Linked DNA regions of Daphnia pulex. The protein of the gene in region 2 purifies or fractionates together with the protein of the main gene of each other region. This does not show direct contact. Links are inferred from orthologs where the notes say so. Each region holds a gene or a part of one and is shown on either strand. Other genes may lie near its edges. The genes, in order: vacuolar protein sorting-associated protein 33A-like and transforming growth factor-beta receptor-associated protein 1-like.

Region 1 (4,282 bases), on a different chromosome or scaffold from region 2:
ACTTGAACAACTTAAATTCGGAACTGTCTTACAATACCGGCACAGTGTACATATTGGCTTCTTTTTTATATTGACTTTCACAGATTGATTTTAACGCTTATCAACTTTTTACCAGATACTTTTATTCCAAGTTGTGCCAAGTTCTCTGTACTCGACATCTCGCACCTCTCGTTATCAAATCCGGTATAATAATTAAAGTACAAGTAAATTTAAATGATCAACAATGAAGCAACCTTGTTGTTTGATAGTTCAAGCTAATTTTGATATTTTTAATCACCTCAATTTTAAATTCAATTGTTGCATACGATAAGGTGTAACCGTCAACTGTTTGCATCCTGGTGCTGTCAAAACTGAAATCTTTCGCAACGCTCCAACATGTAACATCATTTTTTATATGTTGTTGTATTCTGATTCAGCCAAATATTACTCGAGTAATTTAATTAGGGTTCCAGATGGTAGCCGCGGTCTGCATTCCACTTTTCTTTAAGGTTTTTTATTTTTTTTTCTTTTTCTGCTGCATTTTAAAAAATCTCATTCCACTGTTTAATTAGTTGTGAATACTTCATTTTCATCAAGCATACATACACTAGAAATTAAATGTATATTAACTTATTATTTTTTCTTATAGGTAAAAACATTACTGTCAATGCTCTTCATCCGGGTGTCGTTCAAACTGAATTTGGTCGTTTCCTTCCTTATGAGACTTTAGTGAAAATTGCATCACATGTGTCTTCTATTTTCTCAAAGGTTTAAGACGAGAAAACTGAGAATTCAATTTTGTTTCCTCATTCATTACTGAGATTGATTTACATATCCGTTGAACGTTATAACTGTCTACCTTCTATATTTCAGTCGGCCAAAGAAGGTGCGCAGACAAGTATTCACTTGGCTGTGGCTGACGAAGTCGCCAACGTTACAGGAGAATATTTCAGCGATTGTAAGGTAAAATATTAACTTAAAACAAAAAACATTTATTAATAATATAGATGCCTGCAAATCAAAGCTGATGCATACAACGATAATCTAAAAGTTGATAAAGATGTACCGGAAATAATATTTGCAATGCAAGTTTTAAATATTTTTCGAATTAAAAATACAATTTTTTTAAAATCACAGATTGCTAAAACGTCCAAGTTGGCAAAAGACCTCGAATTAGCCAAGAAGCTGTGGGAGGTCAGTGAAACTTTTGTCAAGTTGAAGCCAGAAGAGCGCCATTTTTAAAACACCATTAAAACAAGGTGATTGTTTTTGTGGACGTCCAATAAAATAGGAGTTCAATGATTATGAATTTATTTAATGTACTTTATGATAAGCGAAATGACTAATGAGAGGAAAGTGTAATATGTGTTTCCATAATCCGTGTTTTGCTTTTGCCGCTTTTGCCAACTGTCCAGGATAGCCGTTTCGGAAAATGGCAACACTGTATGGTTCCTATCTCAGCTGTTCAGTGTTTACAACTGTAAGCTGTCAGTTGTGCTGATACTTGTCAGTGGTCACTGTTTCTCAGCTTGGGTCTATTTACTAGTTGACTATATACTTTAAAGCAACTATCAATACCAATCATTTACGAAATAATCGAAATATTTCCTCATCAGAAACAAAGAAACAAAAGCTCGGAAACCCTTCGCTTAAGAAATCTAGAATCTGGACAGTTAATAGCGACGTACTTAGACGTATCTTAAAGAATTAAATCTAACAGATCGAATCTGTTTACCAATTTATAAGTCAAATTTTATTAACAAAGCAGCCATGGCTCATTTATCAGCTGGCAAAGTCAACTTTAGTATGCTGAGAGAGTTGGCAAGAAAGGTACAATTTTATACAGTAAAAATAAATTTTGTCAACAGTTTTGTTATTTTTACAGGATATTGTTTCTCTTTTAGAGAAGTTCAGTGGAACAAAGGTATTTTGGTGTGTGCTATTCCATTTAAGAAATTTACGTAAATTCATCAATTATGCTAGGCGATATTTTGGGATGAACAACTCACTGGCCCCATTGGTTTGGTGGCAGAATACAGTTTTCTTAAGGAACTAGATGTTGTAAAAATGTTCCAGTTAAAACCTGGGCGTTTGCCTTCCATATCTGTTAAAAATATACTGTTCATCACAAGACCTGAAGTTGAGCTGATGGATTGTATTGCAGATAACTTGCACAGGTATGAATAATCTACATATTTTAACTTTAAATAGACAACAATTAGTTAATTTACATTTCAGCGAAGAAAGCCAAGGACATTCTGCTAGTAAGGAATATCAGTTAATTTTTGTCTCCCGACGAAGTGCAGTATGTGAGCAACGGCTCAAGGTTGGTTAAAGTTACTTAAATCAGCGAAGAAGAAATTGTTGACAAAATTATTACTTCATTTAGGACAAAGGAGTGTATGGAACTCTTACTTCTATTGATGAACTGCCTGTTGATTTTTTCCCACTGGATAGTGATGTCATTTCAATGGAACTCGATAATGTTTTCAAGGTATTTATTTATGAGCCAAACTTTGAAAGGGATTGCTTGTCATTGATTTCTTCAAATTTCTTCCCAGGATCTATATGTTGATAATGAAATCAGCTCCTTACACCAAATTGCTCATGGGTTAATGTCCCTCCAAAGTTTATATGGCATTTTCCCCAACGTTGTGGGTAAGGGACGCCATGCCCGTAACGTATTCGAATTGATGACTCGAATGCGACGTGATATTGGGGTAGACTGTGATCCCCCCATGTCTCCGTTGTTCGACACTCTCATGATCATTGATAGGACTGTAGATTTGATAACTCCTGTTGTCACTCAGTTGACCTATGAGGGTCTTATCGACGAATTCTATGGAATAAAACATAGTAAGAAAGTATTGTTAGCTTCTGTGTAAAACAATTATTTTACTTGCATTTTGTGGTTTCATTGTTATTTAGATACAGTCAAGCTTCCAGGAGAAAAGTTTCAAGCCTCTTCACCTGCGGGCCAGTCACCTCGCTCTGATGATAGCTCTGTTAAATCTGTTGTTCTAAACTCGGCCGAAGAGCTTTACGCTGATTTGAGGTGAAATTTTGAATCAGACAAATTTTGCTTCCGACAGTTTTAAAGTTATTTATTTTGCACAGGGACAAGAACTTTTCAGCCGTGGGTACTGCACTCAGTCGCAAAGCTAAAGCTATTTCAGCTCAGTATGAAGAACGACACGAAGCAAAAACTGTCAGCGAGTTGAAGCAGTTTGTAGCAAAACTACCGCAGATGCAAGCCACCAAACAGTCTTTAGCACTACGTAAATACTTTGTCGTATTTTTTCCTGGCCATTATTTAAGCTGTATTACGCATTATTTAAGCTGTATTACGCATAATTTTTTTACAGATACATCTGTCGCTGAATTGATTAAAGAAATAACTATTTCAGAAGCATTCCAAGAGGCCCTTCAAGTGGAGCAAGACCTTTTGAATGGAATTGATACTGACAAAGTTTGTCCATACATTGAAGATTTCATTTGTAAGCAGGAACCATTGACTAAGGTAACTGAAGTGGCAGTTGGATACATTTTGCCATTTCCCTTTATTTTACATTTATAATTATCACAGATTCTTCGCTTGATTTGTCTGCAATCTGCTGCCAATAGTGGCCTGAAGCCGCGCGTCTTAGAACACTACAAAAGAGAAATTATTCACGCTTACGGATTCCAGCACATGATTACGCTTCACAATCTTGAAGCTTGTGGTCTCCTTCGATTGCAGCAAAGTAATCGTCCTTTTACTGTTATACGGAGAGCGCTGAATCTTACGGTAGATGACGTCAATGAAATCACACCTACTGACATCTCCTATGTACATTCTATTTACGCGCCACTAAGTGTACGATTGATTCAATGGGCAGCTAAGCCCGGATGGAAGCAGATTTCCGATGTGCTTAATTTGATTCCAGGACATTTGGTTCAAGAAACTCAACCAATTTCCATTGATTTAAGAAGTTTGTTTCCGTTTCTTAGTTTTTATGAGACCTTATAATCACACTTCGACTGTATTTTAGGAAATTCTAGAAATAGTGTCCATAGTTCGATTGAAGAAACCAAGGTCACATTAGTATTCTTCCTCGGTGGATGTACCTACGCAGAGATTTCTGCTCTTAGATTTCTATCTAAAAGGGATGATGGTAAGTAATTAGCGTTCAACATATTTTGCAAATAACAACTTAAACAATAACTTTTTTTTTCCTTAAAATTTTTTAGCACCTACAGATTATCTGATTGCCACGACAAATATAATAAATGGTGAGAGTTTCCTTACTAGTTTATCTGAAAC
Region 2 (4,287 bases):
TATGCAAAATACGAAATCATGAAAATAAATTATGAAAGACATCATTAAAATTACGAAATCATTTGTGTTTGTGTTTTCAACCGGGGACGCAGACGCAAGCTTGTGATTGAGCCTTTAAGTAAGCACTAAATCCCCAACCATGGACGGATTGATAAAGAACTTCAACAGATGCTTCGCACTCTAAGAAAAAATATTTTATACTGTTAGGAGACGAAATAAATATTTGGTAAAGTAATAACTCACTTTTCTCCCGATCATCGATTAAAGGCTGCTCGCAGTTCTCATTCCAGAATTTATTAGTAAGTACGATGCGAAATGGGCAAATCAAGTACCGCTGCCAGCTTTTAAATGAACAAATTTTTATCAAACAGTTTTTAAATTCTTTATCGCATTGGCCTCGGTGCACGTCAGCTTCCATTGACGAAATGATGTGGCATTTATCGTAACACATATCGTGAGTGTTGCAGCATAGCTCTTGGTCTTTATATGGCAAACATTCAACGTCTATCTACATTATATAAAGAAAAAAATAGCGGAAAATAGATAAAAGAAAATTCTGGGCTGATTTTATTTGTATCGTTACTTTGAGTCCATCAGCTCCACAGCCATTACTAGTCGGGAAATGACTTTGGTTTGGCGCTGCTATAAATCCTGCAAGAATGTAGGTATACATTTAATTATTGATTTATTAGTAAACTGCAAGGGGGTCAGAATATTGTATACTTAACCAGGTGGGCAATCAAACTTCAATTCAGAACTGGAAGGCTGTGACAAAAGATTGATTGAGGATTCCCAGATCTTTGGGTGATAAGCGCAAAAATCTACAAGAGTACTGAAAGTAGCACCAATAATTCCAGTAGACATCATTTTGAAGATAATCCATCTAAGTATTCCGGTCCACCAACCATCCAGGAAAAATAAAGTTACTAGTATGATGGCTACATGTGAATTCTTCATCGTACATCGTCCGATATGGGACGATAACTCTGAGAGAATTCCAGACAATTTGCAGGTTACACAACTACAGTCCGGTATTTTATTTCACTAAGAAGTAAACGGTGCACTCCGCCCGCCCCTTCGAACCTTCCCTATATATTGATAGAAGGGATTTGCAATTGCAACACGCGATACATATATTGATATCTCGATACGATACCTTTTATATTACGTTGAATTACGAAATAAATTTGTTTTTTAAGTTATAATCGCGGCCATTGGTCATAAATATAAACAAATTGGATACTACGAAAATATAGCGTAGTTTGAATGCCCACGTAATTTCAAATCGAAATCGGATTTGATTTTCCTTATTGAATCGATAAACTTTCTATATCGATTAGTGGGGTTTGTTTTGACGTAAGATTTTTTTTTAGTTTTTATTGGATTTGTGTCCATTTGTGTACACGATATTTAACTAAAGAGTACATATAATTAGTAACACAACGCTTCAGCTGCTACCATTTGTTTGATCTCATTAATTTGAGCAATCTTAAAATGAGTGCACAGGCATTTGACATCATATTTGCTGGTAATTTACCCAATCTCTTCATTGATGGATCTCCTTCTACAAATGTAAGTCTTTGTATCTAAAATATTCTTGTTGTATGTATAAATATGATTTTTCAAAGACATTAATGAATAAAATGTCATTTAGATAACCTGCCTGGAAATATGTGGCGATTTCTTATATCTAGGGTGCAAAGAAGGGTAAATTTGCTATACTGTTGGCTTCCCTTTTTTATACCATTGAATGTAATAAAAATTTCGAATTATTGTATCACAGAAACTTACTGAGGTGTAGCTTCAAGAAATCTTCAATCTTACCTGAACAAACAGTAATTATCAACAAAGCCACTCACTGCTACTCAACTACCAGTCCTATAGTACAGATGAAAGCCATATCAGCCTTGACACAGCTGCTTGTGCTTTCTAATGAAACCTTGACTGTGCTTGATTTGGAAACTTTAGCTCTAGTCAGAACATTAAAGTTCAAATCCATCACTTCTTTCCATCTTAATGAGAATCCACTCAATGAAGATCCATTCACAGTGGAGATTTGTGCTGGGTCCAAGAAAAAAATATTGTATATTCACCTTAGTGATGAGCATGTTAAAATAATTAAAGAAGTCTCAACTAGCTTAACACCTTCAACACTGGTGATGGATGGAGCTCACATTTGTTTTGCTATGGGCTTTGAATATTGCATGCTGGATATTCTTTCTGGAGAGATTCAACAGCTATTTGCTGTAGACAACCCACAGCAACCACTCATCATTCACAGAGTCTCAAAGGTGTTTAAATTTAAATGTTGCAAAATATTGCACCTGTTTTAACTTTTCTCCTAATTATAGGGAGAATTTTTATTGAGTGGACCTGGTGGATTAGGAGTATTTGTGTTGTCACAAGGTTTTTCAGATAAACCTCCAATAAATTTTTCCAGTCAAGTCTCAGCTTTAGCCTTTCATCACCCATACATAATTGCAGTGTGTAGACAAGGAATCTGTTTTTACAGGTATTTGAAGAAAAAAAAAAATTCAATCTGATTTGATAATTTTATTTGTAAATTTCATAATTACAGCATTATTGATCAGCAATGCAAACAAACGATAGCTATTGACAATGTTCGGTCTATAGTAAATGGTGATGGTCGAATCTTTGCCTCGACACTGATTGACTTGTTTGCTCTACTTCCTATTTCTTGGGAGACGCAATTAGAGAAATTACTTGCTGACAATCGCATAGAAGAGGCCCTCGTATTAGCTGCTAATGCCCATATCTCTTCTAACGATAGAGAACAGCATAAACTCATGATTAAGGATCTTGAAGAAAAAGTGGCTTTGCTACGATTTTCTTCTGGACGCTTTTTGGATGCAATGGAATTGTTTGAAACATGCAACATTGATCCTCGAAAGGTCTGTTTGTTTTTTACATTTGTGTACAATGTACATGCATAGCATATTAAATAACTTGTGCAACTATTTAGGTGATTGACTTGGACCTTGAACAAATGTTCCCAGAAGAAGAAATGCGCAACAGTTCTTTAGTGGTTTTCCTCGATTTTCTTCAGCGATGGAGACTCAAGTGCTTGACGCCAGATCAGAGGATGGTATGCTAGTTGTGTTTCCGTAGTTTTTCGTGTCATCGCATCTAAATTTGATGTAAAAATTTTTTAGGCAGTCGATTTGGCACTTCTCAAGTATTTAGCAAGGAATGACGACGAAGGAGTGCAGTTGATGGATTTCATCGTAGACTGCCAAGCCGACTCAAGTGAAACATGCGACTGCTTGAAAACTTTTCAAAGGTTCCATTGCTTAGCGACCTACTATATTTCTAAACAAAAATGGGAGGAAGCCTTTTGCATTTGGGATCGATTGATGAAGTCGGACATTGAAGACGTGCATTTTTTAGGATACCCTCATGTGGCCGAGCAGCTGACTAAGTATGAATTCTTTAAAGTTGTTTGTAAATCATTTTCATAAGTTTTTGCGATTTCTACTTAGGTGTGGAGACATCTCACTGATTTGGCGCTTTAGTGGAGAAATCTTAAAGAGGGATGAAGAGATGGGCGCTAAAATATTTACTTCAGAAAAGATACCAGCCGTTAAGCCGCGAGCTGTAATAGATTATTTACGCAACTATCCCAAAAGTTTAAGAATTTTCCTCGAATTCTTGATCGAGAAGAAAATCGACGAGGAGTCGGTTCACACTCAACTAGCTATGATGTATATAGATGACATCAAACGCTCCGATCTGAACCGCAATAGCCCAGGCCATCGAATGACAATTAACAAACTACGAAGTCTTCTTAGAACTTCTCAAAAACTTGAACTAGTTAAACTGTTGGAAATACTTGATACGCCTGGCTTTCCACATGAGCACGCAATCGTTTGTGGAAGACTTGGTCAACATTCCACTGCTATTAATACCTTTATCAACTATCTTAAGGTAGTTAACCTCTTAATATAAAGCAAATAATGTAATTTAATCAATCTTTATCAGGATTTTGATGCTGCTGAGGAATATTGTGCATGTCTAGATGATCCAAAAGCTTGGAATGCCCTGTTGGCTGCCTGTGTGACTGAAGCGAACGTTCATATGTTTGACCGTGTGGCAGATTTATTGCGTCGCCGGCCACATCAGTTTGACGTTCCAACAGCCCTGCTCTGTCTTCCTGATAGCACAAAATTCAATGTAATCGCCCCGTTCGTCAACTTCGCGGTTCGTGAAGCATTACACGAAAAGAGGATGAAGACGGTATTACTGTAGTCAAATAGGGTGTTAATCCAT

What was found.
Region 1: the proteins of transforming growth factor-beta receptor-associated protein 1-like (region 2) and vacuolar protein sorting-associated protein 33A-like purify together in Homo sapiens (co-immunoprecipitation; 5 studies listed by BioGRID and IntAct, with this or other methods). This does not show direct contact. The link is inferred for Daphnia pulex from reciprocal best matches to the Homo sapiens genes TGFBRAP1 and VPS33A.

What each region holds. Positions count from the first base shown.
Region 1 is NC_060022.1:3,591,241-3,595,522, reverse strand, and holds the start of vacuolar protein sorting-associated protein 33A-like, read left to right. Parts: upstream 1-1,427; 5' UTR 1,428-1,749; coding exon 1,750-1,809; intron 1,810-1,864; coding exon 1,865-1,903; intron 1,904-1,962; coding exon 1,963-2,156; intron 2,157-2,217; coding exon 2,218-2,305; intron 2,306-2,368; coding exon 2,369-2,473; intron 2,474-2,540; coding exon 2,541-2,835; intron 2,836-2,907; coding exon 2,908-3,034; intron 3,035-3,096; coding exon 3,097-3,257; intron 3,258-3,344; coding exon 3,345-3,499; intron 3,500-3,565; coding exon 3,566-3,950; intron 3,951-4,010; coding exon 4,011-4,133; intron 4,134-4,209; coding exon 4,210-4,282. Other genes in the region: retinol dehydrogenase 13-like, read left to right, coding at 629-747, 853-942, 1,117-1,221.
Region 2 is NC_060020.1:7,293,112-7,297,398, reverse strand, and holds the start of transforming growth factor-beta receptor-associated protein 1-like, read left to right. Parts: upstream 1-1,438; 5' UTR 1,439-1,494; coding exon 1,495-1,572; intron 1,573-1,654; coding exon 1,655-1,707; intron 1,708-1,783; coding exon 1,784-2,291; intron 2,292-2,351; coding exon 2,352-2,512; intron 2,513-2,578; coding exon 2,579-2,912; intron 2,913-2,983; coding exon 2,984-3,106; intron 3,107-3,173; coding exon 3,174-3,439; intron 3,440-3,500; coding exon 3,501-3,945; intron 3,946-3,999; coding exon 4,000-4,254; intron 4,255-4,287. Other genes in the region: group XIIA secretory phospholipase A2-like, read right to left, coding at 77-180, 244-508, 584-651, 729-957. UniProt on the Homo sapiens protein: Plays a role in the TGF-beta/activin signaling pathway. It associates with inactive heteromeric TGF-beta and activin receptor complexes, mainly through the type II receptor, and is released upon activation of signaling.